Linked DNA regions of Neodiprion lecontei. The protein of the gene in region 1 purifies or fractionates together with the protein of each later gene. This does not show direct contact. Links are inferred from orthologs where the notes say so. Each region holds a gene or a part of one and is shown on either strand. Other genes may lie near its edges. The genes, in order: UBX domain-containing protein 6, tether containing UBX domain for GLUT4 and nuclear protein localization protein 4 homolog.

Evidence for each region.
Region 2: the proteins of UBX domain-containing protein 6 (region 1) and tether containing UBX domain for GLUT4 purify together in Homo sapiens (affinity purification with mass spectrometry; 4 studies listed by BioGRID and IntAct, counting the BioPlex papers as one, with this or other methods). This does not show direct contact. The link is inferred for Neodiprion lecontei from reciprocal best matches to the Homo sapiens genes UBXN6 and ASPSCR1.
Region 3: the proteins of UBX domain-containing protein 6 (region 1) and nuclear protein localization protein 4 homolog purify together in Homo sapiens (affinity purification with western blotting; 3 studies listed by BioGRID and IntAct, with this or other methods). This does not show direct contact. The link is inferred for Neodiprion lecontei from reciprocal best matches to the Homo sapiens genes UBXN6 and NPLOC4.

Annotation. Positions count from the first base shown.
Region 1 is NC_060260.1:40,954,007-40,966,360, reverse strand, and holds UBX domain-containing protein 6, read left to right. Parts: upstream 1-1,853; 5' UTR 1,854-1,992; intron 1,993-2,367; exon of another isoform or gene 2,368-3,695; intron 3,696-3,757; exon of another isoform or gene 3,758-3,948; intron 3,949-4,423; 5' UTR 4,424-4,555; coding exon 4,556-4,632; intron 4,633-4,810; coding exon 4,811-4,963; intron 4,964-5,072; coding exon 5,073-5,481; intron 5,482-5,568; coding exon 5,569-5,864; intron 5,865-5,943; coding exon 5,944-6,334; 3' UTR 6,335-6,956; downstream 6,957-12,354. Other genes in the region: membralin, read left to right, coding at 9,242-9,628, 10,524-10,759, 10,903-11,137, 11,349-11,502. UniProt on the Homo sapiens protein: May negatively regulate the ATPase activity of VCP, an ATP-driven segregase that associates with different cofactors to control a wide variety of cellular processes.
Region 2 is NC_060263.1:15,146,086-15,156,512, reverse strand, and holds tether containing UBX domain for GLUT4, read left to right. Parts: upstream 1-4,686; 5' UTR 4,687-5,014; coding exon 5,015-5,101; intron 5,102-5,177; coding exon 5,178-5,233; intron 5,234-5,336; coding exon 5,337-5,586; intron 5,587-5,664; coding exon 5,665-6,084; intron 6,085-6,171; coding exon 6,172-6,529; intron 6,530-6,615; coding exon 6,616-6,781; intron 6,782-6,856; coding exon 6,857-7,055; 3' UTR 7,056-8,053; downstream 8,054-10,427. Other genes in the region: hippocampus abundant transcript 1 protein, read right to left, coding at 1-169, 325-608, 696-917, 1,428-1,829, 2,017-2,145; akirin-2, read left to right, coding at 9,081-9,249, 10,140-10,333. UniProt on the Homo sapiens protein: Tethering protein that sequesters GLUT4-containing vesicles in the cytoplasm in the absence of insulin. Modulates the amount of GLUT4 that is available at the cell surface. Enhances VCP methylation catalyzed by VCPKMT.
Region 3 is NC_060264.1:8,317,134-8,326,956, forward strand, and holds the start of nuclear protein localization protein 4 homolog, read left to right. Parts: upstream 1-5,194; 5' UTR 5,195-5,261; coding exon 5,262-5,282; intron 5,283-5,625; coding exon 5,626-5,706; intron 5,707-6,172; coding exon 6,173-6,383; intron 6,384-6,844; coding exon 6,845-6,992; intron 6,993-7,186; coding exon 7,187-7,324; intron 7,325-7,480; coding exon 7,481-7,784; intron 7,785-7,907; coding exon 7,908-8,045; intron 8,046-8,164; coding exon 8,165-8,312; intron 8,313-8,491; coding exon 8,492-8,652; intron 8,653-8,806; exon of another isoform or gene 8,807-9,823. Other genes in the region: uncharacterized protein LOC107222111, read right to left, coding at 481-555. UniProt on the Homo sapiens protein: The ternary complex containing UFD1, VCP and NPLOC4 binds ubiquitinated proteins and is necessary for the export of misfolded proteins from the ER to the cytoplasm, where they are degraded by the proteasome.

The DNA.
Region 1 (12,354 bases):
CAAAGGCGATCGTTTTTCATTTCGCTTTGCCTTATCCTTCGTGTACTTTCTTGTGGGATATTCGACCAAATTGGCCACGAGCCATCGGCTTATCGCCTATTGTGCTACCGCAAGTTTTCACGTTAAAAACGATTGAAAACGCGGTCTTGCCGTAAATACTTACAAACGTACTAAACATTCTCGTCGTGAAACGCTGTAGGCTTCACGTGTGATTTCTAAAGAAATTCCGTTTGTCACCTCAGAAATCTTCTTGCAAGATTAGTAGGCGTTACGCGATGGCCGAATGAACGCTGAATCACGCACTAAATGCAATTGGCAGCTAATTACGAAGAGTGTGATCGGCTCGTTTCGAGGAGTATTATAGGAAACAAAACGTATTATTAATCGTAATCATATTCGTAGTATTATCACGTGTGATTTTAATCCAATGTTAATACATCACCGTTTGTACCGTAGTTCATGATATTTATTAATCTTAATTCAAGTTTATACGTTAATACCTATAATCGATATACTTATATCGTAATGCAAACTGTATAAAATGCATTATTTCGTAAGAAAATTTCTATACAAGTTATTCTCCTATCCCATTACTCCTCTTACGCTGCGCCGTGTGTTCTAATTAAAATTTGGTGAGATGTGTCATCTTATATTACAACGCGAGGCTCAACCATGGGTTTAAACCTTCATTTCTTTCTCCCTTTCTGACGCTAAAAGTTCCGAATAACTGTAATTTTCAATTTTTTTTCAGATCAATTCGAAATCATTGTATCAACCCAAATATTCATTTAAAAAAACCGCAATATAGATTAGTCTAATCGATTAGTCGCGATTCTGTTCAATTTCCTTTTAATCCGAGGTCTTCGGAATTCGAAATATATCAAGGTACTCCAATAGTTATTCAGCCATTTGTAATATTTCTTCTTTTACATCAGTTTTAGTATAGTATCAGTAAAAATGGGGAGAAAAGTCGTTCCAATATCGTCCGATTTATTTGAATTAAACTTCAAACGGGTAACCAATAACTCGAACCCGCTATCTGGGGGCAAATGATTTCGTAACGTTTTGCTGTCATCATCGGCACTGCCGTGGTCAACCTGACTTCCAATTGTCAAATCCAATCCGAGGTATTCATCCTGTTCGAGGTAAATAAAAAACTGTCGGATGACGATCCGTCGGTTACCGACTGGTCGTAACGGAACCGGGAACTTCGCTGAACGAAGACAGCATCGTTAGATCGAGAGCTGTTAGATGTCAGTGGTGTCGGAGAGTTTTCTGGGGGAGGGGGGATAGGACGCCGCTCGTGTTGTCGGTAAGTGTTCAGTCATGGTAAAGAGTCCACCGTGGATAGGCGTGAACGAATTGAAAGTCACGTGCGGCCGAATTCCCGTTCCGTACGGTCGGGATTATAAAAATCGTCGGTGTGTCAAGGAAACTCGGAGGGTTTGAGGAGGAGTAAAAGGAGAGTAAAATTGAAAATAGAAAAAGGAGAACGAAAGGGGATGATCAGGTGACGCGTGTGATGATCAGCTTATGCGAGGACTCGGCTCCTGGGAGCGGTTCACTCTTGGACGAAATCAATACAATCGCCTGCGACTTGGCCAGCTTCGTACTCGCGACACTCGGCTTGCTAACCTCAAACTCGACGGGCACATCGGCGAGTAACGAAAACGACGCATACGGCCAACAACACCAGACGCTACTTGAATTTTTCCAAGAGTTTTCCGCCTGGCTCGCCTTCGACGAGTTTCAGCTCCAGCTCTTCAAACTCTTCGCCTTAATCCTCGTCAGCAACGTCGCCCTCATATACGTTGCTTGGCACGTTTACGGCGATCGGATATCCGATCGGTTCATGAAACCAGGTCAGCCAGGAAAAACAGATTTGACAGATTTGGTCACGTTTTCTTTTCACCTTTTCTCTTCTCACGCGTATATGCATACTTGCGTACTGGCAGACTCGTGGCATTGCGTCACACCAGGGATCAACTAAACGTAACTATCATCTATATCATATTGAAGTTAGCAACGTTATCGTGACGATTCATGCCGAGGGAAAACCGTTATTTCACGATTTTGGAAGTTTCGGAAATTCATTAAACGGTAATAAAACAAAACATTCATTTTTCGAAATCTCAGTTTTTTTATAATCAGTGTTGTAAAGTTACGAAAATAGGCATTTTTTCCCCAACGTTTCGTCACGATAACGTTGCTAACTTCAACCTCGTTGATCCACGCATTACGAATTGCAGTAGTCTGGTCAGACTGGTTCCCTGCACCTGCGTTCAGGTATATCTGTTGTGTCTTAAGTAACCTCGCAGGTAACGGTCGCCGATGCTTTTACACTTAGTTTCACATTTTAATTAATGTGCGCCGTGATCAATCATCCAGTGTCATTAGTCTGGATTTGTGTTGTATATAGAGGGCATTCCATTTTTTAATTTAAAAACAAGCTCGGTCACGCTGCAACGTATTTATGCTGAAATTTGCGAACTTCAGCGTGTTCATATTGCCGTTCAATTTTATCCTTTCGAGTAGGCACACTAAATCAATTTTCTTTTCACCGAAGAACTTGGCAGAGTGAAAAAAATATCTGGAATAAAATCGTTTTCGAATACTTTAGTTATAAAGCACGTCAATCAAATGCAAATTGTAATTGTCACGGAAGGTAAGATAAGTATACCCTCCTAACAAGACCAGAATCGTTTCGGTCGTTTCATTTCGGGATCATCTTACGAATTACATTTATGCACTGCATTTACGCAATGCTACCAGACGCTTGCACTGTATGCAAGATGTGACCTTCACCTCTACATATGTACGTATTTGTTGTTGCTATAATGTATAACAATACAACGTGCATAGCGTTATTTGATCATACGTGTGGATTACAACTACTTATTCAGGTTTTACTTCAAGACGAGGAAGCGAAACGATTGTACCTAACATTGTCTACCTCACAAACATATTATCTCTGAAAACCTACTCACTCGACAAATGTTATTTTTCATACTAAATTTGGTTTCATAGAATACCACAAAATTGATAGCGATAGTGCAGGACACGTATGACGAGTTAACAGTCATTCACTGCACTGGTGTAGGTAATATACATGTGGCAGGGAAAGTTCTGTGCATGCATTTTCTCCATTATTTGAAGTTGTGAGAATATAGTATTATTTATGTTGTAAACTAGTTATAGGAATATAATACACTAATTACTGTCCTGTATAAGTCTTGATCTGAATATTTTCACATGAAAAACGGTTTGAATAGAATGTTTGTTTCGTACTTTTGCACATTCTTATCTTGAGCTTCCTTGTCTTCTGTGCGTCACAATTATACAGACGATGCACTGATAATGGTGCACGATAAAATGGAAAGCAGTAATCTTGAAGCATTCATCCTAATTAATGACTGCAGAATTCATCGATTGTTTGGACGACGTACGGGGTTGAGCTTCGCGGAAAACTTTCCGTTATAGTCGTACTCTTGGGTGTACATTGCACTGTATATATTATAACGACCTTGAAATTCTTAACATATCTGTGTGAAAAAATCGATTTCTTTTCTCGTCTAACTTTCGTTCCCCACTTGAAATGATAATTTTGTAAAGATAACAATGTTCATAATAATGAAAATGATCATCCATCTGTTTTAATGAATGCGACACATCTTGTAAACGACTGGAAATTCAACGTGAGTAAAAATAGAGGAAAGGATATTTTAGGTATTTAAAGAGTAATCAATTGCGGCAGTAATTGAATCAGTAGAGGGCCTATACAATGTATGTACATGCGCGTAGTAGGACTTATGGATTCTAAAGCAGCGGTCAACGGTAATATAGGCGTATATCTGTCATGCTTGGACATATTTGAAAACAGTAGGTTAAACGTAACGGCCAGCGGTAGCTTACAATGTCCCCAAACTCATTGTATCATCACGGTCTCTACTGAAACAGAAAAGTTTTTATGAAGAAATATTTCATATAATTTAAATACGTTCAGTATTCGTGAAGACAACTTTTGTAAAGAGTCATAAAAATTGTAGCAATTCAAATTAGACATAGTACCAGATCCAAGTATGCAAAACATTTCCAAATTTGGTGTATTTTCCTGTAGATCATATTATCTGCTTCTGTTTCACGGGTGGCATAAAGTTCTCGACTAACGACAAGTATAGTATGTAATTATACACCCACAGAAATGATGCAGTTAAGACTGTGTAGCCATGTGTCTAGAGATTCCGAAAACTCTTGACGCCATCCTCGCAGAGCCAGGTGTATATTTGACCCATTTTAAATTCGTACACTGCTTTTTCTTATCGCATGTATTAATACACAGCTGACTATATGGTATGTGTACTCATAGATTACTTTTCACCTTATTGGTAGTTGGAGTGTGTTAATGAAAATTTGTAACTTTCAGCGACTTCTGCTGCCGTTGAGGAACTGAAGAAGAGCGTCTCCCGATTGAAGTTACCCAAGGAGCATTCCCCGCGGGTTTAGAAAATCATTCACCAGCTAACTCTTTATCGAGTGCCAACCGAAAACAACTAACATGGCGGACAAGATCAAAGCATTTTTCCAGAAAAAGAAATCCGATGCCAAATTTAAGATGGCTGGAAAGGGGTACAAGTTAGTATTAAACGTGTGATACGTATTCACTGTTGCAAAAATTAGTCAGAGAGCTGTCAGTCACTCCGAAATTTTTTTTTTTTTTTTCTATTCGACAGGCATTTAAGCGTTTTGAAGTTTTTGAACTGCACAACTACAAAGAAAACTAAGATTATATTCTTCTTTTCCGTGTTTGCAGATTAACCGAATCGACGAGTTCATCAAAATCGAACTCTAACGAAACAGTGAAGCCAGTGACGCGGGCGGAACCAACCACAGAAGCTAAAATTGCAGGACAAGCTGCCCTGGCGAGGCTCGAGTCGAAGAGGCCAGACCCGACAAAGTTCAACACGTAAGTTCGGCCAGGGATTTCGATTTCGTTCCTAGTATACCTACATGATCATTAATCACGATGGATGAACAGTTTACCAAAATTTTGCTCACTTGTTGCTTATTCGCAGATCGTACGCGGCTATCCAGGCACAAGTCAAACGAGAACTGGAGGCGGAGAGAAAAGCGGCGAGTAATGAGGCAAAGGAAATCGCGCTGCCAAAGGAGCAGAAAATCCCACAGGAGGTCGAGGCAAACCCGCTGCTCGCTGTACGCGGGGTTTATTTTCGCTGTCCGATTATTTCTGACGAAATATTAACCAGGGACGAGTGGAAGAGCAAGATTCGACAGTTCCTTTACGAGCAGCTCAATTACGAGGAGCCCGGACTCACCGCCTGCCTCATCATTCATAGTTGTAATGCCGGGAAAGAAAAGGTTGAACAGTGTGTCGAAACCATGTGCAAGTACCTTGAAAATATCATCAATAATCCGGGGGAGGAGAAATACTGGAAAATACGAATGTCCAATCGGGTATTTCAGGTGTGTAGAAGGGTTGGAATAACAATGTAAGATACCCGAATCGAATGATTTCTTCGTGAATTTAAGCGATACCTGTTCAATGTGTAGGACAAAGTGAAGCCCGTCGAGGGTGCCTTGCAGCTGTTTAAAGCCGCTGGGTTTGAGATGGTCAAACTAGCGCATCAGGAACAGGAAGAGGACTTCCTGGTTTGGAATCCGGAAAAATCTTCGATCGAGCAAGTCGGTATACTGGTTGATGCTCTGAGGACGGCAGAGCCCGTTCGAATTGAGTTGGACAGAAACTTACAAGTCTTACTGCCCAGTCAGGCAGCGAAAAGAAACGAATTACCTCCAATTTTCTTCACCATATCGCCGGAGGAGATTAAGAAGGAGCATCAGCTCAGGTGCGCCACTATTTTTCTTATTTTGGCTTGAAAATATAGCAGTTGACACGTATTGGCAAAAATTTATTTCATAGCACAGGTCTGAAGCGGTAGCAAAGAGTCAAATTCTCCGTACGAAGGCGATGCGGGAAAAAGAGGAATTGCGAGAAATGAAGAAATACCGTTACGCCTTGATACGGGTGCGTTTCCCGGACGGGGTAATGCTTCAAGGCACCTTCGCGGTTTACGAAAGGGTCGAGAACGTCGTAGAATTTGTCAGAGAGAATTTGATCAGTGACGAGATACCGTTCGTTTTAACAACGCCGACGGGTCATCGTCTCGGGAATGAAGACTATGAAAAGACCTTGGTTGACAACAGACTGGTCCCCGCATCAATACTGAATTTCAGCTGGGATACGGAGATTTTAGATACCAAGGGACCCACCGAATATCTCAAAGAAGAAATTATCTGCCTGATACAGTCCACGTAAGCCTCCTCACCCTAGTCGAGCTATGATTTTATCGTCATCACCTTCCACTCGACAATGGTAAGCACGGACACTCTAGTTTCACACGAAGCGAAGTTTGGAGTCTTTGTTATTGTTCAAGCTATAGAAAAATCAAATTCTAACACATTGGTAGAAAACGATGCAACAAATTAACAAAATTTTCGATTTTGAATGAGTTAATGGGTGACCATTGTGCTCACGGTGCTGATTGATTGTAGACATCGTCGCGTTCCGCCGTCTCACACACGGTTTGGTTCTGTTTTTGATATTCTACAAGACGATGAAACTGAAATCAATACGCAAGGGAAAAAAGAAACTTGAAACTGAATAGATCAATTAAAGACGGAGACAATATTCTCTGCTGTCTGACGTCGAATTATGACATGCTTACGTCTTATTATACCTTTTAATAGAAATGTCCCCCCTAATAATGCGAATAACGGGATGTTTTGCTGAATGATTGCCAGGGGTAAATGCAACACTATGGACATACAGGTATTGTACACTATTGATAGCAAAATATTCTCTTTGTAATTGAATCCATACTTGTTAAAAAAGGAAAAAAAAAAAAGACGATTGGAATAAATATCACGTTTTATTTTCATTTCTGTACTATGTGCTCATCATTTTTTCTTGTACACTTTGTCTCCTACCCAGTTCGGTCAATCGTGTAGAACCAGAGAATTTAGACAGGCTAAAATTTCTTGAGCGTCATTCAAAAGAGTGGTAATTCAATTAGACTACAGTTTAATGTAAGCTGGGATCAAAAATATGAAACATCAAGGAATACTCTTGTTACAAATGGTCTAGATTTATACACCGCTTTTCTTCAACCCATCATTAGACTGCCCACGATATCAACTCGTAAGAACGGCGTAGAAAAGAATTTTATTCAACTTTTTCCACTGATGGGTCTGCATGAATACGAAGTGGGCCAATGTCAAATTCTATTCCACATGTTCGATACTATATCGAGGCACCTTGAAATCATAATCAGCGCGTAAGTCCGCCTTGTCACAGGCAACCACCTCAGACTCAAGGAATAGGTAGCGTCCTCGGTGGGAATTAACGAAACTGTTTCGTCGCAGACCACAGCAGGCTGGTCAGCCACCGGTATTAGTGATAAATTTCAATTGGTGGATGAGAAGAACCCATGAATCGACAACCGTAATCACGATTAGCCAACGGCAAAGTCCGCTTCGATAGAAGTACGTCGCGTCGACGACTTGTCAGAGAGAAAGTAAAATTCTAAAAAGAAGCACCAAAACCACGGGGACTTTTTATCGTGCGATGAAAGGCGGTTGGCAAGGCTGCTGAGAACCGTCTGCGTCGTGTGTCAAAACATATGACGATAAGGCGAGGATTTTGACGAACCTAGAAATTTGTAACAAAAATTTGTACAAACGTCGGCATAGCGGGTAATAAAAACCGACGACATCGAAGGGTCGAAACAGCGAGTTCGTCGAGGGTGCGGCGGACCTCGTCGAGCGAAAATACCTGGCTGGCATAGGGCTGAAAGGTGCGCGGAGGTACGTAGCCTGACTTGACTCAGTTTTCTCGTGTATGTGACGTGTGTGGAGGTAGGTAGATAGGTAGGTGGACAGGTAGATTCATAGGCATCACTTCTCGTCGCACGCTTATCGGAACACACCATTATTGCACGTAAATATTTGTATTTGTAATTTTCCCCCGTTCTTGTCTCACAACCGAGAACTTGTTCGCGCACTTCCTCCGTCTTGGCAAACGACTCGAATTGTCTTCGTTGTACGAAAAGCTGGGAAGACTCGCCGCATGCTGCAGGCAGGTCCGTCCGTGTGACTGGTTCGCTCCGTAGTCCAGGCCGCACGGATCCGTGGTTGACAGTTCGATAGCTGCATGATTAGCGGTATTGAAAATAGCAGAGTCACCCGTGGTCGATGGATGACGATTATTCCGTTGCGATAATTACGTAACTAAGAAACGTACGTTGGTCTTCACTTAGCTATTCAGTGTATCAGCGGCGGCGGGGCTGTCCTATGGTTTTCGTAGGACACCAGCAGCACCAGCTGCACCAGTCTGTTGCTCTTCCGCGTTTCTAAATATTTCATATTACATACCGTTCGTTCGATACTGGAATGCATTGCCGCGGTGTCGTCTAGATGCTTCATCCTCGACTCTATACACCTTCTCGCTCTTTCTCCGCGCTTATTTTTTTTCTCTTCGGTTTCCCATCACGATCAGTCAGTTCTTTTATTGCCTGTTTTCTTTTACAAATACTTTGAAAATTATATCGAAATACGATAACACGTTCTCTCGGGAAAGTGTTAGCACTGCAGTTATGTGTACGCGTGTGCGTGCGTTTTGTATCCGTATTTAATACTGCGCTGTCATTGCCACGTGATCGCCGCGATGTGACGAATGGTTTTTTTATTACATTTTTTAAATATTTGTTTCATTAAAATACCACATTGAAGAATTGAATATTAATCCATTGGCAATCCGAGGAGTTGTGATGTACCTACCGACGATTAACAATGGCCATAATTGTTAAACGATAAGGTGAATATATGATTTACTTTAGGGAAACATTTCTTTCCCAAACATTGTTTCAGGAGCATCTCGCCGGCGGTGTCCGGAGCTACGCTCCCTACCCCGGATCGTCGGAAATGTTATACCGGACGAAAAAGCGTGCGGGAAACAAGTCAACCCGGTCCTATACGATGATTGGTTGTCGGCTTTGAAAATAATTTAAAAAACGCGACAAAAGACGGGGTCCGAGACGACGACGACGACGACACACTGACAATTATTTTACGCAACGAAAGAATAATAAGAATATCGATAATAATAGAGATAAAAGAAACGATAAGATAAGAGGGTAATAATTACCGAATCGTTTAATATTGCAAAATGTCAGAAATCGACGCAGCACCGCCACCGGAAGTACCGGACAACCCTGAGAGCCGGGTAACTGTTACTCCTTCGACATCATCATCGTCATCATCACCCTCGTCGATAGCTTCGACGGCACCGACACCACCGCCCCTGCCACCTGTTCCACCAGTTAATACCGTCAACGGCATAGTCGGGGCGGATAATAATCACGGACTTGCAGCGGCCATTGGGCCCTTGAATAATAACAATATGAACAGGGCGAGGAACAACAATAATCAAAATCCACTATTCAATGTTCGGGACAGGCTATTTCATGCCCTCTTCATCAAGGCCGCCCTTGCCTACGCCAGAGCCTTCCCCAGACCTATTCGACGATTTATTGAATTTATCGTATTGCTCAAGGTAACTCTCATTATATTAGTACGACATTAACCATTCTATTTCTTTATATAATTTACATGTTTCGAAATTTTTCTTCAACTTCCGAAACTTGCCTTCCGTCTTGTAATGTGGAAATATCTCCATGCCAGTTTCTGAGACATTGTTATTATTATTATTATTTTTAGAGAATATTCCGTAGAAGATGTCCGAATTTGCGTGTACTAAAATGAAAAAACCCACAGCCAAGAGTTTGAACGCACATTTTAATGTTTGCATTCTTCCACTCCGTCGATTTACACATATCTACCAAGAGCAGGTGCAGAGCGCGGTTATACTTATTGGATTGATCTATACGCAGCAGTGATGGCGGTCAAGGGTTTATTCAAAGATGTCTATAAGGGCATCGTTCAAGTAGAATTTCTTAGAACAGAGAAAGTATTTACGAGTAATTCAAAGCACGCGTTAGTTCAGCAAAGGGTCGCGAGATCTCGGAGAAATTGGGCAAATAGCGGCGAACATAACGGAAATTAGAACCAGTACTCGCCGGATTTCTGCTTTGGATAATGTCGTGTGACGGAATTCTAGACGTGCGCAGTTTTTTTTAAATTACTTCATATCGGGTTAGCGGGGAAGAATGCGAATGCAGTTGTTCAAGCAGTAGCGGAGTTGTAATTATAAAACGTTGTAAAGTGGTAACTGCAAATTTACGAAACCTTATTTAAAGTTTGTATTACTTCCCGCGATCTTCAAAAAGATATCGCGAAGATATTTCGAATTCAGTCGAATGCTTCCCCGAATACTTGCTGTTATCAAACGGAGTCCTCCGTTGTTAGATACTTGTTACATCCCGGCGCTATCCCCCGTGCTTGCCTCCGAATGAATTGCAGTTTAAAATTGTTAATTTGTATCGTTTCAGGCAATAACGTCATTTTTCGTGCTGGCATACATCCACATAGTGTTTTCCCGAGCACCAACCAACTGTTTGGAACACATAAGAGACGACTGGCCTCGAGATGGTATTCTGAGAGTTGAGATCCTCAGAAATGGCGCTGAAGATTATACCATAGAAAAGAGTTACGCCAAGGAGGAGAAGTTGAGGCAGGAAAAAGTCGATGACCTCGCTAGCGTATTAGGAATTTTAGCTAGAGATGGGTAGGTCTTCTCCGATATATTTCGAATATATCTCACTATTTAATTGCACAGCATATATTCAAAGAGAAGTAGCGAAAAAAAAATGCAAAATGAATAATAATCGCACGAAGGTTTTTATTCTGATTCCTCTAATATTTGAACAGATCATTTTTGAACATCGAACCTTCGACTGTCGAGGAAGACGCACAGGGAAATGCTGAGGCGGAAAGCGAAAACGTTGCTAAGAATTTCACGCAAACAGACGCCAACGTTGAAATTGGAAGTCTGTCTGTTACTGGCGATGTGCAAAGCCCGAATTTAAGTACAACGAACGCGACGATAAGTCCGCCATTATCAACGAAGCTGTGGGATGGTCCAAGTAATGCGGAACCGCTCGAGGTAATGCGATCAGAATTGAAAACGTAGAATAGGAGAGCAATTTTATTTGATTATGTTTTCAAGTTTCCTGGCATTCCCTAACTAACCGTGTCACACGCTTGATAGCTTTAGAAACATCAAGTTCGTATTTTAAGGTTCTGTTGTATTGAGCAGCCTGGGAAAGATGTATTTTTCAAGTCCCCTTGGTTGAAGTAGGGAATTAAATTTTCAGACAGGCTCCGAAGTGGTGGACGAAACGACAATACCGCCTACGAACTCTTACGAAAATGTTACCGAAGATCAATCGAACGATGAAACGAATGGTGATCACATCATTCAGCCATTGAAAGGACAGGTTTCTGAAGTGGAGAAGATAGTCAGAGCAGGTAACTTAAGATATTTTTTATTATTGCGTTAACTTCGGCACATTGCATGTTACGATATGTATATGTATATCTATCAAGGTTGGATTTTGTAACGTTAACGTAACGCAATACTGGCAGAGATGTTTCCCAATTTCATAATTAATTTGTACAGGTAGCACTTATGAAAAGAGGATGCTTATGCTTAATTGCATCGCGAATTTATATTTTACATAATTTGACCCTGAATTCTCGAAGTAGGGAGTATGTCAAAAACTGACTCGTTAGGATAACGTTACAAACCTGCATCTTATAAATTTTTTTGTTATAATACATTGCATCGGCGCTATCGAGCATTGCGGCCAGGAAACCTCAGCAAAAGAAAGAACCGATAATACCGACATGCTAGTTGTGCACCTGGCATATTCTTCCTACGAAACCGAAAGTCATTAGTTTCAGATTTTTATAAATGCAATATAAAATAACTAGAATGGAACTACATACGGTGTCAGGCAGGGGGGGACGTGGAGCAGAGTACGCTTATATTATAAATCGGATAAGGTATGAATTTTATACAACGGAACGAAATTCGCACAGATTCTTACCACCTACCCCCAGGCAGGTTGGTAAGGTAGTCTATTATATCTATAAGTTGTTTCTATCACTTCGGTTACAACTCTTACCGGAGGTGAAAATAAGTATGCGGTAATTGTCGCGGAAGCTAGAAACGATATATTTGCTGTTCAAGGGGAAATTCTACTGGACATGTGTGAATGACCGCCGAATATTCCACTTTCTTATTATAAAGTGTGTGGTGAATCAAATATTCGGTACTACGATTAATAGTCTATTCATGTACGGTGAATCGTAAATAAA
Region 2 (10,427 bases), on another chromosome or scaffold:
TACACCGAACATTGCGGGTCCGAGGCCGTTACAGAGACCTCGCATACCGGTAACCATTCCCTGGACGAGACCTTGCTTATCAGCATCTGAGTGCATCGAAACAAAGGCTGATATTGCGGGATACGTGATGCTCGAAACTGAAGCGAGACCTCCGGCGGCCCACATCATCCTGAAATTAATGATCATTTTCAATAATTAACAGTAATGTAGTAAAACTGAAACAATTGTTTTTAGAAACAAGTGTTTTATCTGTGAGAGCCAACTCGCAATAATATCTCAGAGATGATAATGGAAGTGGTAAAAGCATGGAAAGGGATATATTACCAGGTCTGCGAGCCAAATCCGTACCACATCAGCTGTAGCATCTCAAAGAGAAGACCGAGCATAATTGTGTGCTTGCTTCCGAGGGTCTTCATCAGAGGCCCAAGTATTATTTGTGCACAGACACTTAATATTCCAACTACCGCTATAAATACTGCCACCATTGTGGCAGAAAAACCCATTACTAATTTAAGGTAGACAAATATACAGCTATACTGGCCTGCTTCAGGCAAATAACTCAGGAATACGGTGACACATAGCATCAAAATTGTATGATCCTTGCCCACCTAGAAAAAAAATGCACCGGTCATCAATCTGATAATTCTGAAGGCAGAGTGCGGCTAAATGCGAATAAAAATATTGAATTTGCCAACCTTTCCCAAGGCTGCGAAGGGATCTGCTTGTTCCCAAGAAATAGGGGCTGGAGGACGAGCTTTTTCAGGCAAGCTTTCCGGCACAGCAACCAATATAAAGAAAACATCTAGGATAGCAATGGCTGTTGCCAAAGCAACGGGGAAATTTTGTTCGTAAACTTCCATCAGGTACGAACCGAGCGCAGGACTAATTACCATACTAGCTGCGAACGTGGCAGACACCTGAAAAACAGAAAAATTAATCAGTACGAAATATTGAATGCTGAGCAGTATACGTGAATCAAACAAAATCAAAATATTCTGCCCCTTTTTGGTTTTAAGCATCAAACTTTTTTATTTGTGCCAACAGCACACGACATGGATCAGATTACGAGAAGATTGGAAGTAACATGACGAGTGATGTTGTCTGAAGTTGCAGTAGATTACAGAAAAACATATGGTTCAAGCTATATTTTGATCAGTGTTAGATATTGGACATTCATGCCTTTCTTTATCTAATCAAAATGAACGCAATCTAATCCTTATATGGCCAATGTGTCACCAGCCTAGAATACAGAAAACGTGTTGAGACACAAGTGGACTTATAGGGATATTAATGCTGCTGACTAAGCAAATTCCAATCTAAGATTAGCCAATAATGACTGTTGGAAAAAAGACTCAGCAAGTTACACGTGGAATTTTATCGCCAGATTTGTTAATTTTCGATGTGCAGATATGCGCGAAAATACTTACCAAACCGTAAGCCAGAGAACGTTCGCTCTCCTCGGTGACGTCAGCGACGTAAGCAAAGACAACCGAGAATGTGCAGGCAAATACTCCGCTGATTGAAATCATGGCGAAAAACCACCATGTATTTATGCTCATGAGTGGTATAGGCGCACAGGTAAAAGCTACAGTGATAAGCAGGAAGAATTTCCTTCCCCAAACGTCGGAGAGCGCGCCAATCAGTGGAGCTGAGAGGAACGAGAGAATCCCTTTGATGCCCATTATCAGACCGTTCATCAGAAAGGTATGATCGGGAAATGTCTTGTTGAGAACGGCAATAATGGGCATTGTCAGCAGTCCCCAGGCAAAGAACTCCAGGAATATGACGACAAGGGCATGATAAACGCTGGCTTCGCCGATTCCCGAACTCTGAAACAATGGAAATGTAAAGAAAAGTTAGAAAATTAGAAGATATTTATCGGCAGGATGCTAGCGATGTCAAATTCTTACACAGCTGTGACGAAAAACTGAACAGTCGAATCAAATATTTGCACAACTGCCTTCTCAGTGGGCGGCGCTGCTCGTTAAGCTATACAAATTTATACTACCAGCTGACCTTGAGATGTCTGTAGCAACGCTGAACGGGCGATAATAAGGGTGGAGGCTTAGTCAGCGCTGGCTCCTGGCCATCGTGAGCTTCGGAGCACGAAGGGCCCTCCGAGCCCCCGTCTGCACCAGGGGGCATCGCCCCTGCTCGCCCCTAAGTTCTCAATAGACGCATCTGCTCATCGACGTGATTTTTTTTTAAATCGAACCAGTGTTCTATAATGTCTCAAAAAAGACACCTAAACCGTGCAAGTTTTTCAGAGCAGTAAATACCTCGTTGCGTGCCGTTTATTGGCCAGGAAAGACGTTACTGTTGGAGGTATCCAGTTTTTCTGTATGCTCTGAATTAATTTTATTCGCATTTTCATTGATATATAAACTTGATCATAATGTTCGTTTTGTTGAAAGATATTTGATTATATATATCACCGTATTTGACGGACGGATTTATAAGTGTGCCCTGTATTTACTAAGCTAACTAAACTTATTCGCACCAGTGTTCCTCTTAGGATCTATTGAAAATTAAATTCAAACAACTTGATAGATTTATTAGAGTTACGAGTTGTAAACTTTTTCTTTTTCACTGTAAGAATTGCGTGCAAAAACTAATCGAATGTCAAAGACTGTTGAAAGTAGTCTATTGAGGTTTGTTTGGCCGCTGGGTATTATATTCTACATTACATCAGTGACGCAAATAAAATTCTTTCCAAAAGTTAGAATAATTGTATTACGACAGATGTACTTCTTCCTTGGCTGGAAAATAAAGTCGCGTTTTTTCTATTCCTATGCAAAATTACTTGTGGATGTGGAAAAGCGATGCACCGAGTAAATATATAAGGGGAAAAATATTTTTATACCAACGTAACGAGGAGGGAATCTATCAATCAACGTAAGTCATCACACACGTTTCAGCACACAGTTGGTGAGAGTCAGATATTGCTAAAAATACACACGCAGCATCGGCTGAAGGCCTGTAAATTTTCGTTTGATTGAAACGCGCTGGTCCATCGACTGTGTCTCCGAAAATTGGTGAGCGTCAACTGGGGAGGCGCGATGTCGCGGTAAAACTCGGTAAATTTTTGTCGAGGACCGTGAGAAACACGCTCGAAAATGCGACGACAATGCCGATGATATGCGGTGAAACGCGAATACACGGGGTTACGGAATCCTCGAATCATGAGGCCGTGGCGTAACTTTTTCGGCGAACGGAACAAATTCTGACGAGCGCATTTTAAACTGACGTCTGTCAGCTGTGGGCCAACGTCAGTCAACGAGTTGTCAATAAATCTCGCCCGGTAAACATTCGCCGCGTGAGTTGGACATTGCGTCTTAATAACGGCGATTTTCCTTCTTTCCTTCCTTCGTTCGAGAAGAGGGCGAAGTATCGAAGAATTTTTTTACGCAAGAGCACCACTACTGCGGTAGCATTCCCAACCCCCCTCCCGCCGCGAAGCTGGTGCCCAACTACCCTGCTGCGGCCCCATCATCGGGATTTTTCGTACGCGCATGATTTCTTCTCCTCAGCCGCTACTTGGGGGCACAGATATATCAGGCTGAAGTTAGTAACGTTAACCTAAGGAAACCTCAGGCTAAAATGTCATCGTTATTGGGTAATTCAAGAATGACTTTCAAGGAGATGACTACAAAATAAAAATATTATGTTTATAATGGTTTATTACATTTCGGACATTTCTGAAGAGGCGAAGTAGCGATTTTCACAAGCATGTATAGTTACAGTAACAATACCAACTTCATCCTCATACAGATACCGCAAACGGGTTATGGGCATAGCCTGTTTGCGGTAATGTAAATACGAAGATCATCTCGGCTGATCGACCAATGCCTCGGGACGATTCCAGGGTCGCCCGTGTGTGCAGGACGTCAACGCGATGGTGATTCCAGAAAGAGTGGGGAAACCGCGGCTGGGTGTTGGATGAGAATTAAAACCCCTCGGCCACAAGTCATCGGCAAGGTTATGATGATAACACGTATGTAATATCGTCGCTATCCTTGACGCGAATAACCGCATTGCAACAGGTAAAACAGCGAGTTGAGGTGAGTAATGCGGACAGGTTGCTGGTTGTTGGTTGGCAGGAAAATAGGGACGCGAGATAAAGACTGGGACTAATTAGACTTGGAAAAGCTTGTCGCCGTACAAGATAAGGGAATATTTGTACACGGATCTATCGTTGGACGCGCGTCGCAACTTGACGAGCAAGTACGAGAACGATGCTTCAGCGTCGAGACGTCGCTGTGACGAATGATTTTCCGAGGATGATGAATCTCTTGGTTTTTTCTTTCCGTCTGTCACCCAGCTTGCCGATACCTCTCAACATTAAAGGAAAAAACCAATTGAAATACGTACCGTGATCACACCATCCTTCATGATGGATTTTCGACTCCTGATTATCATCCCGACGACCTTCTTCGACACCTTAGCGGGCATACTAACGCACTGCACGCACCAGCTCTTTCGCTTTTTCAATTTCATTAAAAATTCAACGTTTATTCACCACATTTTTTCAATCATTTATCGTCGAGTACATAGGCCCGACCTATTATTCAATGCACTCTCATGGCGATATCAGTTCAACTGAACTTCTAACTTCAGACCATGCACCTACGGCGCCGCACATTTGATTAAATACCCGTCATACAGATACACCTAGCGGGATTATCCTCAATCCGCTGGCGCAACTCACATCTTCGTCCATAGATTATTCAGTCTCAAGAGATGGGAAATCGTAAAAAGTGAAAACTCAATCAAATCTCCAATGAGAACTAGCTTCGGTTAATTAGCCAATTTTCACGTTGTCATCCCTATTATGTTTCTAAACGTTTGTACGGCGCAAGTTTCACCGTTCAAATAACCCAAATCGGCTTCGTCGTTACCGATAGTGGCGCTATGTAAAGAAAACTAGCGAGCGTTATGACGTCATGCAAGACCGCGCGCAAATGCTGAGGAATGATTAAGCAAGACCGTCAGCTGTTTTCGAAGAAAAACAAGAATGGCGGCAAGCAAAAGTGTCATTGTGCTCGCGCCGAATGGTCGCCGACAAACCGTGAAAGTAACGCCAAACACGACAATATTGCAGGTATGATTCATTTCTTAAAATTTGTTAAATCAACGTGATCACTGATATACAACTGATCCGATCAATTATTCTGTAGATACTGGAACAAGTGTGTCAAAAACATGGCTACGAGACCGAGGAATATGACATCAAGTGAGTCTCACCAGGATAACTATGCTCCTTTCCATGCCTGCTTATGCGCCGATCCCTGAATATTTTGCCGCCAAATTATATCTCAGTCTTCGTCAACCCTCAGGCATTACAATCGCGTTCTCGACGCCAATGCCATCTTCCGATTTACCGGTTTACCGAACAACGCTCAACTGGAGATGGTACCTTGCACCAAAAAGAGACTTGACTCAAATGTGACGGTCGGCATTCAAACTGAAAGCGGAGAGCGAGTGACAGGTGAATTTCAGCCCAGTAATTCCTTGGCTCAAGTTCTGAATCAGCTGTGTCCGGAGCAAATGCTACCAACTGCAGCTCTTATCTACATGCATCGCGAGGTTACATTGTTACGCTAGTTTTTCAAGCCTGTGTAGCCTGTCATTGATCAACGCTCGATTAATAATTAAAAATCTCAGGTCTGCGGGTTGGACCTACTGGAACAAACGACGCTCAGATCGCTGGGACTGAACTGCGGCAGAGCTATGCTTAGATTAATTCATCGCGATCCTGAGCAACCCAGAACTCAGGCTCATGTGTCGGCTCCTTTGGCTGCAAGGCCATCTCAAGAAAGCATTGACTTGGCACTTCGTATGGCTGAAACTAATCGACAGACAGCGGCATTGCGGAGAGGCGCACAGAAAAATATAGATCCCATATCAGCCCTGAAAACAGGAAAGACTGCACAGCATCATACACAAGCTTCAGTTTCAGAAAAGATCCCAAAACTTGATTGCGATCTGAAGGTTGAAGAAAAAACGGATGTAACTGAAACTGAAAACACAGGAATACCGATGGATACATCTGAGAGTAGTATAGAAGACACAAAAGTTGAATTCGTAAGATTCTAATTTTTCTTTTCTCTCCGCTTATTTTTCATTTCATTATATTCGCAGCGCAAGAAATTAATTATTGATAATTTTTAGCTGGGAGAGAGAAATGCCCTAGTGTTTAATCAGGCTGGAGCAGAAGCCTTGCCACGTAATGAATTACCCGACAACTTTTTTGACCTTACTGTCGAGGATGCTCGGCACTTACTGAAAGATGCTATCCGCCTTAGAGCAGAGCTGGATGAGGCTCCACTTCTAACTTCAGCTCAGAGACAATTGGATGAGGACAAAAGGATTTTGCATCATTTACATAAATATCGTAAAACCGTGATTAGAATTCAGTTCCCAGATCAATTGGTACTTCAGGGCTTGTTCGGCCCGCTTGAAACAGTTCAGGCAGTTAAAGAATTTGTAAAAATTTACCTGGCCAATCCTGACGCCGAGTTCATGCTTTGTAAGTATTTCTGCATACCTATATTTCTCTTTTTGATGCACTTCTTATGCAACTGCAAATCGTATTACATAGTTTTAACGAAACAGATACAACACCTCCACGCACTGTACTGGATCCCGGTGCACGGTTGGTCGACGCCAATCTAGTGCCCTCAGCTATACTTCACTACTCTGGCCAGTCTAGTTTGAAATCTGAACTAAACAACAAACTTACCGATCCCAGAGCTGCTGGTATTCAAGCAGTAAAATCTAGGTGAGCAGAAAGAATGGCTAGTTGTTTCGCCACAAATACTTGAATAAATAATAATGATGATAATTTAATCGTTAGAATGGCAATGGCGCGGAGAGGTGTGGACAGTTTTGAGAATGAGGATATGCCTGACATCAGTATGGCACAAGAAAAGAGACTGGAAAGGGTAGTAGAAACACCAAAGCAATCAGAACCCACACCTGGACCGAGTCATAGAAACCTTGCACCTGCAACCAAAGCTAATGTACCGAAATGGTTTAAGCAGCCGTTTAAATAATCATTGAACCTTTTCTGAGATATCCTGGTATGGAATACCTCATTGAAGCAGTATGACTGAATAATGAGTTGTCAGTTACGTGTTTACTATTGTTATCTATTATTAAAATACAGCAAGAGGAAAAGCTGTTATCCCGATTTTTCATGTTAAGACCCTGTAGTAGTCCTGCTTTTACCGTCCGAGCAAACTCATACCTTTTCTTCGTATATTAAATAAACAGAAGGGGTTCAAGTCTCGACGGTGCATCATTCTTTCGTAGCGGAATTCAGGAATGTTACTCGTATTCCAAAAATCATCAAAAACGTGATTTTTTTAAACATTTTACTATTTCAACATTTCTCGCATCTCAGGGGCCAAAAAGTGCATGGTTGAGATACTTTCCGCAATTCCGGCAAGAATGAGAAATAAAATGAGACATCGCAAGACTGCTTTCATGCAATATTAAGGCCGCTCAACGAAAACTAGGATTTACGGTAATTTTGTAGATAAAAGACGCTCTCATGCTGTGCTGGGGCGACCATACCAACCAAGGAACTTCGCGCCCAGCTGATCGCTAGAGCATTTTTTATTTACGAAATTATTTGTATCCCTAGTTTTCGTATAGCGACTTCAATATTACATGAAAACAGTCTCACGATGGCTTATTTTAGTCCTCATCCTTTCTAGAATTGCGGAAGGTATCTCAACTGTGCACTTATTGGCCCTTGAAATGCGGGAACTGTTTAAATAGTAACGTGTTTCAAAAAACCACTCATCTATTTAATGCTTTTCAAGATATGAGTAACATTTTTGAATTCCGCCATGAAAGAGCGATGCATCGTCGAAACTTCAAGCCTTTCCGTTCATTTGTTGATTTAATATTGGAAAAAAAGGGATGAGTTTGCTTGGTCGGTAAGGGTAGGCTGTCACAGGACCTTAAATTAAAGATTGAAATGATTTTTTGTAACAATACAGTTCCTCACAGGCCTTTGTAAAACAATAAATGATCTTCAAATTTATCACATGCAAATCATTTTATATTTTAAATATGTCGTACGGAAACTTATATTGATTTTGTTCCTGTAGGGCTGAATTTGCACAAGGTTGTTAAAGAAATTTTTATCATGAAGATACGTACAATTCTACGGCCTAGACTATCAACAGACCGTATGGCCTAATGGATAAGGCGTCGGACTTCGGATCCGAAGATTGCAGGTTCGAGTCCTGTTACGGTCGAGGCAAGTTTTTTAGTTCTTCAAACAGTGTTTTCACACAAGTAAATTGTGCAGCACATTCGAAAAATTCAGATTATCGTTTCAAAATCGATCCTGCAAATCCTAAAAGATTCGAAGAAGTTTGTTTTGCAAATCGATGAAAATTCAAATTATCCTTGAGCGGATGTCAATTTATCGCGCATTTTTTCAGCGTTCTATTTTCATTTTTAACTCTGCCCAGTTTCGAAATCTATTCTTTGCATTTGCAAGCATCATTCTCTGCAGTCAGTTGGTCGAGATATGATTTTTTGCCATTCCGTGCATCTTTAACGCGTGCGTGCAATTTGCGTCAGTCACGTGCGACAGCTGACAGCTGCATCTGCATACCACGTGACTATTGCCGGCGCTGCCGTAGGCTGAATATCGAATGAACCGTTTCGATCGGCCACCCCTGCCCTTCCTTATCGATGCAGCTGCGTCGTGACGCACGATGCAACGGCTCGACCAATGAGAAAACGCGGAGAGATGACCAATGGCAGACTAGGCTAGGTAAACGTTATGGAAAATGTTCAAGTCGCTGCGGCTGACGAAGTGACGACGGAGGAGGCCATATTGTTTTACTGCAGTGTTTGTTTTGGTGCTGCGGTGGCCAGTCTTAAAATCCAGTTGAATCAGCCTGGAAACTTGTCGAAAGTCTTCGACGAGACCGCTAAACGAAAAGGGAATACTGTGCAATTTGTAGTACCGATATATTTTCGGGAAATAAAACGCCTTTTGCGGTTCCTCGGCGATTTTTTGGTGTCAGTCGCGTACGAGACTGTGAAGAGTAAAAATGGCCTGCGCCACCCTGAAGCGATCACTCGAGTTCGACCCCGTTCACAGCCACGTAAGGCCTTCGAAGAGGCGAAGATGCGTACCGATGTGCATGTCGCCAAACACACCGCCGGCGAGGAATCAGAACCCATCAGCTTTCGGCGAAGTTACACAAAAATTGACGCCTGGTAATTATATTCGGCCATTTTTTTTTTTATCACGGGGTGTTAAAGGGGGAAGCTAGCTGCAAACGTAGATGTATAGCGATTTAAAACCCGTATATACTATGGCCGGAGGCGTGAAGTGGGGTGAGGGGAGCGCAAATCATATGGAGATACCGACGTAACGGTCGCTGCTGATTTTCACTATTTTTACAAACAGCTTTCAAACTGGTTTTCCTCCACTCATCGCGCAATTTGAAATATACGTTAGAATGACCGTTTTTCTTCACAAAGTTTTTTCTCATTCGACAATTCCCCTCATCACCTCGGTGTTCAAACGCGCTTCTATGTCACTAAAAAAAAATTCCCCATTGTGTGAGTTTTGCGTACCCAGGCATTATTTCATTCAATAATGTCGAAGTTCGAAACGGGAGAAAAAGGACCAAGCCGAATCGTATGTTTGTAATCTTCATTTACGTATTCATCAGACATAATATTAGCATTTCCATGCTCAGTCTGATGCGTTACCACGAATCTATTGAAAATACCCATCAAAATTCGACCACCGTAAAGGCAGACTATTGCAACTTTACTATTTGCATAACTGTGAAAATTTTGAATGAATGCATGGAGTTTGTTACTCAACTTGTACATTTACATGAGAACTAAGCCTTCTTACTAACCTCTTTCAGCCATTACCAATAACTTGGAAATGATGTTGCAAAGACCTAATATTGTTTCGGTTTTCTTATTTATTATTTTCAAGTAATTTCACAATCCGTTATTTGAACATCATCAATCAAAACAATGCCTGGTTGCAATTGTGATTGCGATCCGTCAGGCTTGGTTATTCAGTCTAAGAAACTGAGGTCAGGTATCTGAATTGTTTACACCAATGCCGTAAAATGTTTTCATAGAAAAAATGGCTGCCAATATTAGAGAAGAGATCCGCAGGCTTCACCGGCGCAAGCAGCTGCATTTCAACCCGCAAAACAACAATGGTGGAGATTCTTCAGATACTGAAGGTCCAGCCAGTCCATCGACTAGTGGGCCTAGTGCTTACAGTCATAGCCCAAGCGGCAAAGAAAAACCACTGTTCACATTTAGACAGGTGGGTGTATTTTCAAAATAAAGAATGAATGGATATCGACATAATTGTGAGATCGTTTATTTGCTACAAATAATGGTTAACCAACTTGTGTTTA
Region 3 (9,823 bases), on another chromosome or scaffold:
TGTAGACCTTGAATGCATATAAGTTTAGTCTAATTGTTTGAACTACTTGCAACCTGTCGTCGCAAAATCATTGAAAGTCGTCCAAGTTTTCTAATTGCTCGGTTCTTTTAGAATTTTTTCTAGGACGTAAAATCTGGGCCAAGATCAATTCTGGCGAGTCGAGAATTTTAGCATTGTTTTTTTTTCGTCGAATCTTTTCCTGTCAATTTCATGTATATCACACTTGGAAAAAAAGTTATCCGCTTTCACCGCGACTTATTACGTGGTGCTGAGAATTTTTCCCTTGCATAAGGTAAGTTACTGGCGAATGTGGTAAAATAAAAATAGTAAAAATACAACTTATTCAACTAACTGTTTAGTGAAAACGGCTAGGAAAGCCAAGTTGTAAAAATTTTCGGAAAGATCATATGTTCGGTTCACTTTTAAGCGACACGAGTCTTTTACTTGATATCTTTGTGATCCCTGTGGAGCGAAAATTACCTTTTCTTTTCCAATGTTACGAACACGTCGTTTAAATCTGATTCTTAAGTCGATAGACATCAGCTGGACATTCATAACTCCTACTTTAAGATTCAGAACTTCAATTTTAGTAAAAGCGTGAATATTGCTGAGAGTGAGTAAAATTAATTGCGAGCATGCCGTGCCAGAGGATAAAGAAGCTTTGTAAGCACTGCATGTTTGGCGGCACCATCGAATGCCAAGATTGTTTGTAACTATAATTTACCGTCCACGTGCGCGGAAGGTAAAACTGACAAGATAACATGCACCCGTCACTATCGTAAAATGCAATATGCAATTCGCGAAATTATTTGCATTTTAAAGCAGTATTTAATCGTTATTACGTCACCAACAATGTACTCCGCATAGAATATTCTTTTTTTCTGAAAATAATCGGATTTTTGCAACTAAGAAGAGCTTGTTGTTCAAATTTTTCCGCGTTGTAACACTATCTCGTAGCTTGTTTATCGAATCAAAGGAATTACGGCAAATGGCACGCGTACACGAATTTCTTCGGCCTTTACGTCACATTGCGAATAAAGCGCCAGCTTATATAAATCGAACCTAGTTTCTCGCGTAATGTATAGCTATATTATTTCGCATTTCAAAAAATTTCGCAAAATTTGTTGCCACAAATTATTTGTACGCTCATAACGAGCGAAAATTCAAATAACGATTCAGACATGACGTTTACGTAGGTTGCATGAAATTCTGGAATCAAATCAAACGTGGAATTTTGCCAGGCCTTTGTGGTCGTACGGTTCCAAAATATTGTTTTCAGGAATTCGTGCAGCAAATAAATAACTTATAGGGGAAAGATCGCGTCGCGGTAGGTGAAAAATATTTGTTTCCACTCATTTCATCATTTCACCCACTACACAAGCCTGCCGGAATTCACAATATTTTTTTCATGCAATGATTTGCAGTTAATTTATCAAGGTCTGTGAGTAAAACTTGAACGAACTATAATTCCATTAAAATCGAATACTACGGTATCTTTAATCCACATTCAATCCATAGTCTATTATTTGTCATTCAAAAACACCGAAATACAACAAATTGCGAGGTAGTTACAAAATTTGAAACTGCGTGCTCTAATCGATCGATAAAGTATCCCGTTACAAGAGTAAATCGGGATTTGGGGAAGATGGATCTGTCAAGTATAGCCGGTGTATGATCAATGATCTATATTATAAAACAAAGAGGAATATGTATAGAATAACTGGACGCAGTTTCCGAAATGGTAAAAACCCCCTCAGTCACGATCTTAAACAAGTAAGAGAATCTGTACAATGTTTGATAACAATCTTTATACTGACAAAGAATGACACCGTCATTAATCAATCGAGTGACATACCTTGTTCGGTGAATATTCGAGTTCTAACGAATTATGAGACGAAGATGATGACGATGACGATGACCTGAGAATGATTGTCACTCGATGATAGTGTCAGTGATGGCGCGCGATGAAGTCCGGTTTCTTATGGTATCTACCCCCGAGTGCAGGTGGTGTACAGTGAAAATTAAGGAATAGTCTTGGGACTGAGCGTGCGCTGACCCTCCTGGCAACGGATGAAGCCAGTCGGTGCAGTTCGCAGGCGGCAGACCTGTTGCCGCGAAGACGCGGGGCGAGCTTGAAAGGCAACCACACTCCACCGGTACCACCCGACAAATACCATCTTTCCAGAGAAATAACAAGGTGGAGAGCCAAGCTGCGAAGTAAAGGACGGTGCGGTTACACACTCGACACTTCCACCTGCCAACCCACGGTATTCTTGGGGCACAGAGCGTCGCTCCGATTCCCTACCTACATTTCTCTCCCTAATAATAGATCCCTAGTATTTTCCACTCTCTACATACGCCTCTTCGTTGTTCCTTGTAGACAAGGGTTACCTACGCGCCACTCGATGACGGTAGCGATCATCGGGATATAATTCCACTACAATCGCAAACCAGGCTTTGATCTTCCCACTTCGCACTAATTCGCTATTATAACGACGCGTAGATTCGAATTTTGAATTGGAAAAACTGGGGTGACCTTGCGCGTAGAAAACCTTGCGTCTTTCTCTTAAGAAAAGTAAACGCGTCACAAGTATAATCTTGCACACATATATATATTATATGTGCGGGGAATATAATACGCAGCTACGTCTGCGGATGGGATATCGGGAAATGTTCTCTGTCGCAATCGCGTAATTTCAATTATATGTGGATAAAGGAAACGACGAAAGTTCAATTTTATTCAATTAAATTCAAGTATGCAAACATGTTTCATGTTGTTTACCGAATTACAAATTTTGAGTTTCGATATTGACGTAGATCACTTATTTCGCATCGGTATATTAATGATAGTTAGACACGTGGCGGATACATGTCTGTTGAATCGTAACAAGAATTTTATGGCGTTATATAGCTAGAAGTCACGAGGTATTGTATACGTATATAAACGCCTGAGCGAGCGCAATACGGCTTGCAAAATTGGCTGACAGGTTGTTTGCGTGCAGGAGTAATGACACAATCATTCATGAACTACGTCATAGTGTGATGTAGGCGAGTGGTGAAATTTATATTTTGGATCAGTAACGAAATCTTTGAAGTTCTTTTCGGCCATAGCGATAGAAACAGAGATAAAAAAAAGATCGCGTGAAATGGTTTCGTCATTCATTTCCATTGTGGTTTAGGACTTCATTTTTTAAACCAATTTCTTGCGAAGGATCGGATATTTAACGAGAAGACATGAGAGGTAAAAACACGTAAAGTCACATTTAGTAACTTGCAGGAGGGGTGTTTGGTATAACGGAAAAGTACGAAAGTCGAAATCTCGCGGTTACTAAGTGTTTAGCTTAATGATCACGCACCGCAGATAATGCGAGATGCATAGAAATACAGGACAATTTGTTTTACGCAGTTACTTCATTTCAAAACATTGACTAATCATATTATTATACTTGCCAGTATTAAGCTTAAAAACACCGTGCTTTATACAACACTAGCACAACGTGAAAACAAAAATAATAATAACAACGATTATAATCCAAATGTGAAATGATGTATAGAGAATAAAGAGGTAACTCGTTAATGCCGGACACATCCTGACACCCAGATGAACTATTAATTAACTGCCAAACTGATCGATTGTTATTCTTATTATATGTGTTTATTTTTATAACACAATATGCGTACATGCAATTATAATTACGCACGCAATGATCATACAACATTACACACAAATGTGCATACATGTGTGTGTCAATGTGTTGTCTATGCTTCCGTCTATGTATACACAGAGTAGATGTAACATAAATATAGCCGTACTATGTATACAGATTCTTAAGTCAACGTGTAGTGCAACCTGTTTAAGAATGTATCGGACCGGGTGTACAGTCTAATCGGAAAACTGTCCGAGGAGAGAAAACGAAATTAAACATCCGTTTAGAAGGTGCGACTGAAACTGATGTAGTTGAATTCGACGAAAGACGAATATTCCTCTGACGTAGAAGAAAAAATTTCTTTTTTACGAAATCCCGCGAATTTGAGTCGAAACGTCTGATTATCAGCTGCACTTTCGTGCAAATTTTTTTGGGGAATGCTTGATATAAATGTCTCATAGAATTCATTATATTCTTCAACGAAGCATAAATTTATCGTTTTCTGCTTATCAATGCAGTTTTGTCAGAATATTTTTTGATTAATTAATGATAATAATGAAAATTGGACAAAAGATTATATAGATTTGGTATAGAATGTTGCGATAATAATAATATAGATATAGGGTTTTTATCATTACTGCGTGATGTCGAGAGGATATATAATCTTTTCAATCAATTTCAAATTTATCGTTTAACTTCGCAGTTTAAGTTCGCAGATTTGGAATCTAATTTATTACGAGGTTGAAGTTGGTAACGTTATCGTAACGGAACATCGTGAAAAACTTCACTACTTCGCAATTTTAACACGAACTTGAAAAACTAATATTTATCATAAGAGTTATATCTTGTTTTGTTAAGGTTTACTAATTTTATACTATACCATGGTCACGAAACAACAGTTTTTCGCTAACATGAACCGTTACGACAATGTTGCTAACTTCAACATGATAATTTATTATATTTCACAGTTTTTTGTTTTCAAATGTTTTTCGACCAGACTGTACCGCATACTATACGTATATCGACGTATCCTATTCCATTCCTTTTTTTTCCCTTCTCTCTATCGACTAAAATACGCGAATGCAGATTCGCAGACTGAAAAATATATTAGCTGGCGATGATTTTCTATGAGAAATGGGGTGAAACGGCGAGAGTTACCGACGAAAATTCGGATCATCTAGAAGAAGCGGGGCCCTCCTCTTTTTATTGAGCCTGCACGCGGCTGGTACGCGAGTGTCAGTGGCTCCTTGACGACGAGAATAGAGTCGAGTCGTCGACTCGGGTGAAATATCTCTCAATTTATCGTTTAAAAAGTTGTTGCGCGCGGTTAGGCAGAGGAATATTAACCGATTATCGTGGACTCTGATGAACGGCGATAAAATAAAGGGGGTAACGTAACTGGTTATGTGCGATCGCGAGTGATAATTATAAGTACAAAACTTACCGTGTAGTAATACTTTAGCGTAGAGAGGTTATGGGCACGTAAGGTTGACTCGGCAGTTTTTCCACAGCTGACTAGGGATTTTGATCGGGCTTTGTTAACACAGGCAAGCCTTGTGGCAGCGGGCTCGAAACTCTCTCTCGAACAGCTGATGCTTCTGGAATACCGGCGAAATGTCAAAATCAACGCTAATTGTAAGTCTATTTGAATCCGCACCGTCACCTATGACTCAAACAACCGACAAATTAAGTCGCCCACTATACCGATAACCGTAGATATTTATTAGCCGTAACCTTTTCATTCCCCCCGACCCACGCCGCGTTTTGCGCCTTTGTCATTACCTACGATGGGGAAAAATATAATACGTACATGTCTATGCATATAATATATGTATAATACATTGTTGAAATATTCAAGAACAGTAACGAAAGTATTTTCTTCTCTTTTTTAACCTAAAGGGAAAAAATACTGTTAATTTATTTCACTGCGATGCTAATTACTTTCATGCAACCCCTTATTTTGTCATTCAATTTTCAGACTCTCAGAGTTCAATCACCCGAAGGCACCAAACGGATAGAAGTGAGACCGACTGATACAGTCCGTGATCTCTTTGAAAAGGTTTGACTTATTTGGCAATTTATTTTGCAAAAGAAATTACTAATAATAAGGTATTTTGTACTTCTGCTTGTTATTTGTAAGAGCAGATTGCAATTCTCATAATTTTTCTTTACTCGCAAATTCATTGCAAGTTGTCGCTGTAAATGCTAGCCTTTGTGACTTAAAATAAGTGAAACCACTGGCTCAAGTTTGTGCGTACAGTTTATCATGCTTGAGCTGAGAGCCATCTATTGTCGGTAAAGATAACACATTTTTCTCTAGTCATTGTTCTTGAAATATTTTTTAAATACTGTCTATTCTAGTGACGAAGCAATGCGTGATTCAATGATAACAACAGATTTGGAAAGAACTGGTCACGATTTAGTTATTGAAAACATTATACAGCGAATCAGAGTTTGCTTAGAAGTACTTGGATTAATGATGTTGTCTTTACGGTGTCACCATCAATTCAATTCTCATGTTTTAGGTACATGATACGTTTAACTTGGACAGCTTTAGTTTTGGATTATATAAACTAAAAAATCACAAGGATGAACTCGTATCTTCTCGAAGCAAAACAGTCCTTGGAACAGGATTGTCTCACGGCGATATGGTCTACCTTGTGCCCCTCAATGGCACAGTATTACGGCCACAGGATGGACCATCGACTAGTAGTGCCTCCATAAATATTCCTGCCGGTAATCTTCACTAAGATGTTATAAGTATAAATTATAATAATTGCCAGCAGTACTTTGGTATAACTTCGCTTGATGTAAACTGGAAGCTCGTCGCTGTACAACATAGTTTAAGAATTTTTAAACAATCAATACAATGGGTGAAGAATAGATTTGTTATACTTGCTCTTATTTGTAGGACTTATAGTTAATATCGATCGTCGCACAATGTAAAAGCATTTTGAGCAGTAAGTTAAGAATGAATTTTTCAAGTACTAAATCAGATTGAAGTTCGTAACGCTATAGTAATGATGCATCAGCAGTAAACCGTAATATAGCATTTACAAACTCAGATCTTGTGAATTCAACTCCTCTAGTTATACCGAAACTGTGAAATAGTTAATTTTGTTTCAACATTTTGTTATGTTAATGTTACCAACTGCGGCCTCATAACATTCAATCCTAATAAGGTTAACTGATCTTAGCAGAACCAATGCCGAGTACGAGCAGATTATCGCAGGGATCTATGGCCATCAATTCATCTCGACCTCTTGCCAGTGTCACGGAAGATGAAGTAGATCAACAACTGTGGAAGCTTGATGGCAAGATACAGCAGAAGCGTGACGAGAAATTGTGAGTCTAATGTATGATTATCATTCACATCGCCTATCCGTTTGATTCCTTTTCTACAAATGTACCCCTGAGCGCTCAAAGGTCAATTTTGAGAGATTAGATCGACTTTAAGTGAAAAGAAATTCAGAAATTTTCTAAGTTAAGACGAGTACTCGATTAATATCTATTGCTATTCATGATCCTAATATTTACAGATGCCGCCATGGTGCAAACGGGTGCTGCGTGCACTGCTCACCATTAGAACCATTTGATGAAGCATACCTCAAGGAACAAAACATCAAGCATTTATCATTCCACTCGTACCTCAGAAAGCTCACAGCTGGGGTTGATAGGTATGTCATTACGTAGAGAGTTCGATGTTGAAGTCAAGCTGTGACACTAAAAATATTTGGAAGTCATAATTATAATGTTACAACTGATAGAAGTAAGTGAATTTTTAGAAATGAAACGGCATTATAATTTAATTTAAAACTTATCATCTTTCACAGAGGGAAATTTCTTCAACTGGAGGACATAAGTTGTCGCATAAAGACAGGCTGCAAAGATCACCCACCATGGCCTCGTGGGATTTGCAGTAAATGTCAGCCCAACGCTATCACGTTGAATCGGCAACAGTATCGTCACGTTGATAACGTCATGTTTGAGAATGCTAGTCTAGTGGAGCGCTTTTTGAACTACTGGCGTAGTACCGGACATCAACGTGTTGGTTACCTCTATGGTAGATATGAAATACACTCAGACGTACCCCTAGGCATTAGGGCTGTAGTTGCTGCAATATACGAACCTCCACAAGTAAGTTGTTCAATATTCGTAAGAACAATTCGAATGATCTTCGACTTTAGTAACATATTAAAGCTCTTCAAATCACAAAACTTATATTTATTTTATCTACAAATGGCTTATAATTCCTCTCAGGACAGCACGAGAGATACTGTATCTCTCCTACCAGATCCAAGACAAGAATTAGTCGACGAACTTGCTCGACTTCTTGGTTTGCAAAGAGTGGGGTGGATATTCACAGATTTAATTGCTGAAGATGTCAAAAAAGGCACGGTACGTATTGGCTGACGTCCAAGCTTTAATTTTCATTTTGAAACAAACGCCGCGACAAGATCTGTGGATAATGCGTTATTCAAAAATAATTAATTGCATATGAATGTGTATTTTTCCAGGTGAAACACGTCAGAAATATAGACAGTCACTTTTTATCAGCACAAGAGTGTATTATGGCAGGATACTTTCAAAACCAGCATCCGAATCCATGCCGTTTTTCACCGAGTGGTTATTTTGGCTCAAAGTTCGTCACAGTCTGTGTCACAGGTAATGTATAATTATTAACAATATATTAATCAGAGTGTTTATCACGCTTGCTGTATTATTCGGTACAATATGGTATAAATTTACTGCAGTGCACCTCCTAGTAAATCAGAGCCTTTCGTTTTACATTGCAATCAAAAACTGTTCTCAGAATATTCTTTACCTTTTCCTTTGATCTCCAGGTGACGATAAGAATCAAGTGCACATGGAAGGATACGAAGTCTCTAATCAGTGCATGGCATTGGTACGTGATGGGTGTCTAGTCCCAACCAAGGATGCGCAGGAGCTTGGCTACGTTATTGAGTCCACAGATAAGCAATATGTTCCTGATGTTTACTATAAGGTAAGTGACAACTTCCTCTTCTTTTGAATTGCCCTTATTGAATTTTATGAAATGTTGTAAGGTTTCTTGGGTGGGTAAATTCAATTTCAGCTGTTTTCCAATATTCGTTTAAACAATAAAATAATATATATGGAGTGAGAAATTAATTGCGGTATTAAGTTTCCGTCACGTACTTATTTTATTTTCAAACATTTTTTTTCGCGCACATATACATTGGATGGTTCACATGTTTTACAATGATGAGGTCGTCTAACATTAATTTTTATAATCACCGTTTATTCTCGTTAAAAAGTAAATCGCCAATTACAGCATCATTGAAATGCTCACAATCCTTCGGTTATACGATCTTCAACGATTTTAATAACATGTCTTTGTGATATTAAGAATTTTCTTACCACGTAACTTAATTATTTCCAACGGTGCTATTCGAATTCGTTTTACATTTAACTTTTTTTTTTTACCATCGCATTTATACGTATATTCTTTTGTATACATATATTTATTCATATTTCTGCTGCTGATAACAGTGGCTATATATTCAATTTCAACTACTATTTTGAATTTCTCAACTACTGCGAGCCATAAATCTCTAATCATTCGTTGCAAATTTAATTCACCACACACCGTCTTGTAACATCCAACACATTCAGACAGTCGTATGATTTGGAATAGTAGAGAAATTGAAAATTTGTTATCAATTTCGAAATTCTGGAAAGAGGGAATTTCTTGGAATAAATGATATACTGTTTACACCCTCTTACCTGAAGATCAAACATTCACATTTCAATTTCCTCTATAATTATGATCTGCTTTTATAATCCCTATGTGGCAAGTTTTACTTCTCCCATAACAAGCTCTTAATTATCTCTTTTCATATTCATTATCTTCCATAGTAGATTACAAATATACTTTTGCCGCAACGAGCTATTCGGTTTTTTTAACTAATACAGTAATAAACCTAAATTTGAAAATATAAAACTAAAAGTTGGACCAAGTGAAGTACTTGCATTGTTAAGAATGGCAACAGTTTATAACTGGAAAATGGTCGATTAAATCTACAGCATGTCTTAGGTAACAATTGTTTACCTTGTACATATACAACTATTATTATTTTTACTAATTTGGTTCTTTGATTCATGTTACCACAATTAGACGAAGTGGTAAACGTACT